Caenorhabditis elegans: one gene and its partner. The protein of the gene in region 1 purifies or fractionates together with the protein of each later gene. This does not show direct contact. Each region holds a gene or a part of one and is shown on either strand. Other genes may lie near its edges.

The links.
Region 2: the proteins of W10G11.1 (region 1) and ctsa-3.1 fractionate together in Caenorhabditis elegans (co-fractionation; one large-scale study listed by BioGRID). This does not show direct contact.

What each region holds. Positions count from the first base shown.
Region 1 is NC_003280.10:3,559,152-3,562,320, reverse strand, and holds W10G11.1 (T20D4.11-like domain-containing protein), read left to right. Parts: upstream 1-1,628; coding exon 1,629-1,730; intron 1,731-2,100; coding exon 2,101-2,508; intron 2,509-2,561; coding exon 2,562-2,615; 3' UTR 2,616-2,669; downstream 2,670-3,169. Other genes in the region: W10G11.3 (T20D4.11-like domain-containing protein), read left to right, coding at 1-381, 433-501; W10G11.2 (T20D4.11-like domain-containing protein), read left to right, coding at 699-803, 927-1,325, 1,390-1,443.
Region 2 is NC_003280.10:7,230,629-7,236,652, forward strand, and holds ctsa-3.1 (Serine carboxypeptidase ctsa-3.1), read left to right. Parts: upstream 1-2,224; 5' UTR 2,225-2,225; coding exon 2,226-2,392; intron 2,393-2,911; coding exon 2,912-3,074; intron 3,075-3,532; coding exon 3,533-3,669; intron 3,670-3,719; coding exon 3,720-3,858; intron 3,859-3,900; coding exon 3,901-3,992; intron 3,993-4,046; coding exon 4,047-4,214; intron 4,215-4,255; coding exon 4,256-4,439; intron 4,440-4,487; coding exon 4,488-4,826; intron 4,827-4,871; coding exon 4,872-5,207; 3' UTR 5,208-5,292; downstream 5,293-6,024. Other genes in the region: aqp-1 (Aquaporin), read right to left, coding at 5,300-5,480, 5,528-5,858, 5,904-6,024.

The DNA of each region.
Region 1 (3,169 bases):
GAAAACATAATCAGACTTGATATTTCCAACAAAACCGGCCCCACAAAAGTGATCGAAATCTGTATAAACTTCAACCGTTGCCGCCAGACACTCGATTGTCAACCCGACAAGGTTTTTGCCATCGTTGTCAACACAGGCCTAATGTTCTGCGAGTACGCTCAGTTCTTCCTCGATACATTCGTCCCTTGCCAGGTCAAGATTGACGCCAAAGCTTCCGAGTGCTCTAAAAACTGGGATCCCTACCCGAGTGAGATTTCGGATAAGGAGAAGATGGCAAAGATTCACAAAGAGGCATGTGATAACCTTTTCGGGAAAGACAATTGCCTAGAAAAGGAAATCACAGAGACATGCGGAGTAGAGATGTGGAAGGGGTTCCGGAAGGTGAGTTTGAAGTTTCAATTGTTAAGTGAAATAATACTTTCGATGTTTTAGAACACTCTAGCAATGAAGACATTTATGGGAACATGCAAGTTTGGAGAGGAAATAACCATACCGAAATAATTAATAGCACCATATTTAAAACGTAAACACTCCTGCCTATTGATTTTTTTTCAAATGAATAATTTTATATCAAGTTGCCATAGGTTATCAAGTGATAGACATTCTTTGATCTATCTGTTCCTGGTCTGGTATATCATGTCTATAAAACTAGTTGCCCGAAGATTTTCAACATTCACTTTTCACGTTTCGAACTAAACATGTGTCGACATTTGGCAGTATTTATTCCTATCCTGATGTTTCTGACGGCGACGTGTGAAGATTCAGATTGTACCAAAGGCCCAGAACCTACAAAATGCTTGGAGGTAAGTTATGTGGTCTTGAATGGAAGATGTTATTCGAAACTGTTATCACTGAGACTTTTGTATGTTAGATTGAAAGAGAAGCTTAGATATCGAACATTGAATTTAAACAATTTTTTCTCACAGGTTTTAAAACAAATTGCTATAAACTCGAAAGAATTCGATATTTCCAACAAGACAAGCGCCAAGACAGTGATTGAAAACTGTGAAAAGTTCAACCATTGCCATCACACTCTCGACTGCCTTACCGAAGAAAAATTTGTCTACGTTGTCAACGTAACTTTCATGTTTTGCGATTACGTTCAGTTTTTTTCCGGACCCTTTGTCCCCTGTCAGACTACGATTGAGGCTAAAGTTTCCGAGTGCAATAAGAACTGGAATCCCTTCCCAAAAGAGACTCCGGATCAGGAGAAAATGGCTGAGGTTCGGAAAACGGCATGTGACAACTTTTTCGGAAAAGATAATTGCATGCAGAAGGAGATCACGGAGATTTGCGGAGCAGAGATGTGGAACGGGTTCCGGAAGGTGAGCTTCATCTTCAGAATTTACAGATAAAAAAATAAATTTGTAGTTATATTATAATTTGCAGATTCTGCTCGCACTCAACACTGCATTGGGAGCATGCAAGTTTCAAGATCATTGAATATTAAATTTGTTATTATTATATCTTACGGAAATGATAAATAGCAACGTATGAATCAGTTGATATCAATTCGTCATAAGTCATCAACTGATAGACAGTCTTTGATCTATCCCTTTCTGACCATATCATGTGTATAAAACTTGTTGACCGAAGTGTTTGACACTTTTTGCTTTGTGAAAGAAAATATGTTTGTAACATTTCTGACTATTCTGATATTTGTGGCGGCGACATCTGAAGCCCTAAATTGTACAAACCCTGGAGGTCCAAAGGCCGTGAAATGCTTGGAGGTAAGATTTTAATTTGTTTTTTAATTTTCACCAAAAAGTAACCTAAATCTTATCAGTTTCCAGATATAGTTGGGCATTCTTAACTTGATTAAATTAAATTCGTAGAAAAGTATGGTAACTTTGACGTGTTCGAAATTATTCGTTGAATGTCGCTTGAGTTGAAAAAACTTCTGTGAAAAATCAGTCACGTTCGATGGGAAGTTTCAGGCTTAGGCTCAGTCTCAGGCTGAAGCTGGGCGGTGGAAAAATTTTTAAAAAATTTTGAAATACATTTCGCGACATTTGGTGACATTACTTGAATAATTCCATAAGATTAGCCTAAAAACAGAAGGAACTAGGTTGCAGCAGTCTTAAAAATACTCAACATTAGTCTTTTCATGTTTTCATCGAACTGGGTGACAACGCAAAAGGCTTCAATATCTCCAACAAAACCAGCACCACAAAAATGATCGAAAACTGTGGAAAGTTCAACCGTTGCCGCCGCACACTCGATTGCCTGATCGAACAAAAATTCGTCTACGCTGTCAACATAACCCTCATGTTCTGCGATACCGTTCAGTTCTTCTCAAAACAGTTTATCCCTTGCCAAATACTACTAGACGCTAGAGCATCAGAGTGCTCTAAAAACTGGAATCCCTACCCGAAAGAGATTCCGGATAAGGTGAAAATGGCAGAGATTCAGAAAGTGGCGTGTGAGAACTTTTTCGGGAAGCATGGGTGCATGCAGAAGGAGATCACGGAGACATGTGGAGCAGAGATGTGGACCGGGTTCAAGAAGGTTAGAGGGTTGAGGAGTGTTAAAATGTAAAATTATATGTTAGTAATTTCCAGAATAATCTAGCACTCAACACAATAATTGGAGCATGTAAGTTGGAAGAGCGATAGTTGATAAATAAATTTTTATGTGTTTTACGTATTCAAATAAATAAATTGGTGAACGTCATCGGGCATCAGAAGGTACTTTGAAAAAATGAAAGTATAGGAAAAAATGCACAGCGGGCCAAATAAGCTCCTAAACTCGCTAAACTAAGTATCTTCAAACTGGCGTATCTCAAAAACTACACGTCTACTAAACAATTGTTTTATTAACAAAATGTTTAGAAATATTTTTTCTTTCTTGCACACTAATTTTTCTTTTAATACACCAACTATTTGTAGAGTTACACAGCGTCAAAGCCATTTTCCCAAAAATCACAAAAAATTTTGAGAACTCTTTTGTTGTACCCTTTATAACTCAACTTCCATTAAATTTCAAAAAATAACTTTTGTTGAATAATAAGTTAAAAATATTTCTCCACATTTTACCAGTTGAAAATTTTTTGATATTCCTATGTTCCACCAAGTTATAGACCGTTTTCTGAAAAAATCCATTTTTGCTCATAAAACTCTTCATATCCAACGTATCGACTTGAAATTTTGAAAAATGTTCACTTTTTTGA
Region 2 (6,024 bases), 3.7 Mb from region 1:
AATTGATTCTTACGTGAATTTTTTAATAACTGAGAATTCGATCGGTTTTTCAAGTGATTTTAAGGAAATAAAAAGTGTCACGCGAGAATGAAAATTAGGTCCACGTTTTAATTTCAGATCTTTTCAAAACAGAAATCATCAAAAATGAACATGATATTCGTAAATAACGTGTTCTCAGCATTCTAAAAACATATTTTTCGACCCAAATATCCCAATTTGATTTTTTGCCATTTTCCGAAAGGCAAAAGTCCGATTTCGTTTTTTGGAGCGGAGGACGATTTTGGAGATGTGTAGAAATTTCAAAATTTTTTTGATGGGACTTGATAGAGCACCAAAAAATGCGATGTTTCGTCCACATTTCAAGTTTCTGCGTTGGATATGAAGGGTTTTATCGATGAAAATGGATTTTTCTGGAAAATGGTCTGTAACTCGACTGAAGTTTGAATTCTTGGAAAGATTTTGTGGAGAAATGTGAAAAAATATCTATAAACCCTATTTTAACTTATATGACATTCATAACTTGCTTATTTCATGAGATACATCCGTTTCATCAAAATTAGTTTCAGATTATTTGTGCAATTTTGTTCATGGATTACTATCTCTAGGAAATACCAACCTTACTGGTGCAAAACTAGATGCAAACTGTAGGAATTGAAATTTCAATCAATTTCACAGCAGGCAGTTTCTTTTGAATATGCTTAGTTGTCAAAATACTCCTGTTTGAAATTTCTAGAATCTAAGAGTGGCAACAGTTTTTCAGGTGAAAAGTATATTCCAAGAGTTGCCAGTCGGAAAAAACGCTTCAAAATTGTATGAAAAGTTTACAGAGCTTCAGTTCATATTAATATTTTTTGTTTTGTTTGAGAAATTCAGCTTAAAGCGAGAAAAGTACCTAACTCTCAATTAATGTTTCCAATTGCTATATAAATACCAATTTTGTGACAAGTATATCTTGAAAAGCAGAAATTTTTGCACAAAATGTTTGACTGAGAAATTAATGGAAAATATCTTATCTGTCTGTCACAAAAACCTGCTTATTGATAAGTATCCTAGTTTCAGAGATACATGACTTCAAAGTTATTTTACCAAAAAACGTCCAAAAACTTTGGTTCCTCTTCCGTTACAACGGTGTATCTACCACAAGAAAGATTTTTGTGAGATATTTTTATTGATTTAACATTTTATAGATATTTTCAAAAATAATCTGTAAACTTTTTTCAAATAACTTCAACTTCAATATAGGTTACAGGCCATTTTCCAAAAAAAATCCATTTTCATCGATAAAATCCCTCATATCCAACGTAGAAACTTGAGATTTGGATGAAACATCGTAATTTTTGGTGCTCTATCAAGTTCCTTTAAAAAAATTTTGAAAAATCTGCACATCTCCAAAATCGTCCTCCGCTCTGAAAAACTAAATCGGACTTTTGCCTTTCAAAAAATCTACATTTGAAAAGAAGGCGTGGTCTAACGCACGTTTTTCCCCGTGAATGGCGGAACCCTGATTGTCATCGGCTGCTTTATTGTTTTAAAATAGCATATTTTCTCAATTTTACTTGCACCTGTGGTTTGACGGCTTATATCTCGGTTGCCTTAACGTTTATCAAAAAATTTTCAACAATCAAAATATAGAGAAAAATTTTGTACGTGTTTTGTCCGTTGACACTTCTTTAATATGACTAAAGACAACTGAGATACTGAGACTGAGACTGTCAAACAAGAGCAAAGGGGTCTAATAGGGGAAATACGGTCATTTTATTTGTCAGAGACTTTCATGATTTACAGGTTTTAAAGGGCTAAACTGAAACAGCTACAATGAAGCGTGATGAAAAAATTTGTCACTTCAAAAGCGTACTTCCATATTCTAAGTTTCTAAGTTTGAAAGCTTTTTCGTGGAGAATGATCAGAACCAAAAAGTTTTCTCTATTTCTTGTCATTATTTGCTCTTGACAGGTAAACCCAACCCACATCTATTCAGCCAGAATTGTAGTATTTTTTACGACTCGAACTTTGTTTCCATACTGGCACTCGCAACACATTTTTTTCAATACGACACCATAAAAAGGATGGCTTCAAAAAGCGAATTATTATAGTGATAAGCATATTTCTTCTTATCAATTAGCAACTCTATGCAACCTTCATTTCTTTAGAGTCTACCGCATTTTTATAGATTTTTTATTACGATTTTCATTAATTCTGATCATTGAGAGTCCATTTTATTCAGAATGTGTCGAACTCTACTTGGTGTAGCTTTTCTAGTTGTGACGGTCCTATCTCAAGGAGAAAAGGATTTGATCCAGAATCTGCCCGGTCTTTTGTTCAAAGCCAATTTCAAGTCATATTCTGGATATGTCGATGCAAATGCAAATGGAACATGGAAAATGCATTATATGTGAGTTTTATATTCTCGGCAAATCTGGAAATCTGAAGTCTTATTTTCAAGTGAACCATTAGTGAATGTATTTTTTTCGAATTCATTAGTTCTCAAAATTTCTCAAAATTCCAGCTTTTTGCTTTCATATAGTTTCTTAGATCTTCTTTGAAAAGTATACTCCTTACTCGAATGCACGTTTTTTTTGTGAAATTTCGCAGTTTACACAATGATTGAAGATCATTCTATTTTCGGAACTCATTGAACTTCAAAACGTATTTCTCATCAAAATTTCAAAAGTTCCCTTGAAATGTCATTTCTCAATTGAATAATCATCAATTCATTTTGTTGTCACTATTTCTTCTGTTTAATTTAAAATTTCCACCTCACGAAGCATCAAGTAGTCATCTAATTCAGTCATAATTCTTGTGTAATTCTCTGCAAATACAATTAAAAATTTACTGATAACGTTTTTCGCTGTCCATGCGAAAACTGATAAAATTATTGGAAATACAAATTAAAAAGAAATTGTGCTTCCAGGTTGACAGAATCTCGATCAAATCCAGATACTGATCCATTATTGGTATGGTTCAATGGAGGGCCAGGATGCTCATCTCTTGGAGGACTTTTCGAAGAACTTGGTCCATTTTATGTTAACTTTGATGGACAAACTCTTTATGAGAACCCATATGCATGGAATGCGGTAATTATTATTTTTGGGGAAAAGGATAAGCTGTTTGCAATTCCAAAGACCAGAGTTTTATTATGTAGTTAAAAGAATTTCAAATCAGATTCCTGTAACACTCGGTTGCCTATGAAAACCGAAATGATAATCATAACTTTCAGTTTAGACTACAACTCTTTTCGATCAAAGGCGGTTTGCTAATTACCATTCGAAGACCACGTTATGATATTTAGTTCTCGTTGAATTGATAGAGAAAAGAAAGTTTGAATAGAAAATAGTCTTGCTTACGCAAATTTCAAGTTTTATTGCTTTTTGCAATTTATCGTTGAAACCTCATTTATTGTATAGATAACAAATTTAGGCACATAAAACACAACTTTGTGTAGTTTAAAAATGAAACCAAATTGAAACATAAAAAGGGACAGGGACATGTATTAGGATAATAAAAACTATAAATTTAATATTTAAAATTTCAGAAAGCCAACGTTCTCTACTTAGAATCCCCAATTGGAGTTGGTTATTCATATGACACTACTACTCCAGGATACTTCCAAGCTAATGATGATCAATCAGCTGCACAGAATTATCAGGCTCTCACAAACTTCTTCAATGTGTAATTGAATTTTAAGTCTAGATACGTAACAGAAAAATGTTAAATTTCAGTGCTCAACCTAAATATACGAACAGAACATTCTATCTTTCTGGAGAATCGTATGCAGGAATTTATATTCCAATGTTGACCGATTTGATTGTACAAGGAATCAACAATCCCAATCAACCCTTTCCAAACAAAAACTTCCAGGTAAAATAATTACACAATTACTTCAAAACATGTCTAATTTAGGGTTCTGCAATTGGAAACGGATTCATGAATGTAGCTGGACTTCTCAATGCCCTTACCCTTTGGAGTGCCTACCATGGACGTGTCTCTGAGCAGTAAGAACATTTTAAAACTGTTTTGTTCGTTTTAAACTGAACTTATTTTTTCAGGAATTGGGCCGACATCAAAGCAAACTGTTCAAAGGGAGCCGACGTTGACAGTTTTGATTTCTCTCAATTCACAACTTCTCAAAATAAAATTGACTACGTAGGAGATGGCTCATACTGCGGAAACCTCATTCAACCACTCATTTCGCAAAACGCTTTAGGAAATGAAGGGTATGAGATTTTGTATTTTATATATTTAACGTAATTTTCAGATTTGACCAGTACAACTTCTACCAAGAATGCTATGACAAATCTGTCTTTCAAGCCCCACCACCAGCTGGAGGAAAGAGACACAAGAGAAGTGCTATGCAAGGAGTATCTTCGGTCCAGAAGAACTTGCAATATCAACAACTCGGAAACTTCCAAGGAACTTCCAATTTGGCAAAGAACACTGCTGTTAGTTTATCTTAGTTTGTTAATTGAAACGCTTGCTTCATTGTTCAGACTCTTGTCAACCGTTTCTCAAATGACAATCAATTTGGATATTTTTGCTGGAATGAAGATGCTGTGTCAAAGTATTTGAACAGTGACAATGTGCAGAATGCTCTCAACATTCCACAAGCATGGAAGGATCAGAAAAACACATGGGAAGATTGTAGAATGTCTATCTATAATAATTATACTCTGAAATACAACACTACCAATCGATTCTTCAACAATATCATCACAAATCTCACAACCGACTTCCGTTTCTTAATCTACAATGGAGATGTCGATACTGTTTGTAACTATTTGGGAGATGCCAAGCACATTCTTCAAGTTGCTAAAGATAATGGACTTACCGTAAGTCACTTCTACCGTTAAATAATATTCCAATTATATTTTAAGAGTGGGCCACGTACCCCATGGTATTACAGTAACAACCAACAACTTGCTGGATATGTTCAAACTTACTCTGGCAAAAATAAGAACAATGCTATGATCACAATTGATCTTCTGACTGTAAAGGGAGCGGGACACATGGTTCCATATGATCGTGCAGGACCATCAGTTCAAATGATCTCCAACTTCGTTTGGGCTCCAAAGAATGTTGTTATCAACTATACCAGTCAAGATAATTTCAATCCAAACATTCAACTTTCTGATTTGGTTGACAGTGGATCCTCATCAACTGTTGCTTTCTTCATTTCTATGTTCGCTGTATTGCTCAACATCGTTTTCTAAGTTTTTTTCTAATTTATTGATTCAAGACTATATATGTAGTAATGTTTTTTAAACATTTGAAAATTCAATAAAAATGTACATAATTATTAGATTTAAGCTTGAAGCAATTTTTGTTGCTCTACAGATTTTGGTGGTTGTTGAACAAAAATATCGTCGGCTTCTTCGATGTCAGGATTGTGCATTCCAAGGGAGAAATGATAGAACCATCCACCGACAAGAGCACCAACAAATGGAGCAATGGCTGGAGCTAGCCAATAGTTAGGGTATGGAGAGCTGAAATCATTATATGAGATATTTGTGAATTGACACTGTGAACTAACTGGAAAACACCTGGACCATAGATAAAATAACTGAAGAGTCGTGGTCCGAGATCTCTTGCTGGATTAATTGGATATCCAATGTTCATTCCAAATCCAGTTCCGATCATCATTACCAAGAATCCGAAGAACATTGGATGCCAAATTTTTGGAATTTGATTTCTCTCATCAATAACAACGCAGAGGAAGTATGCGAGAACTCCGGTACCGACGCACTGATCAATGTATGGACCCCATACTCCAAGATTTGGAGATGGATAACTGGCAAAGCAACCAGCTGTTCCAGTAGCTCCGAGGATTGTGCGATTACCTCCATCAAATGCATTGAATTGTTCTGAAAATTTCAAAATAATTTCAACAGGGAGAATAAGTAGGATACCATAGTAATAAGAGTACATTCCAAGAGAAGCCACGAAAGCTCCAGCGGTTTGAGCAATTGCGTACAGTGGCACCCAAGCAAGTTTGAGATGACCAAGAGACCAAAGTAGAAGGGAAACAGC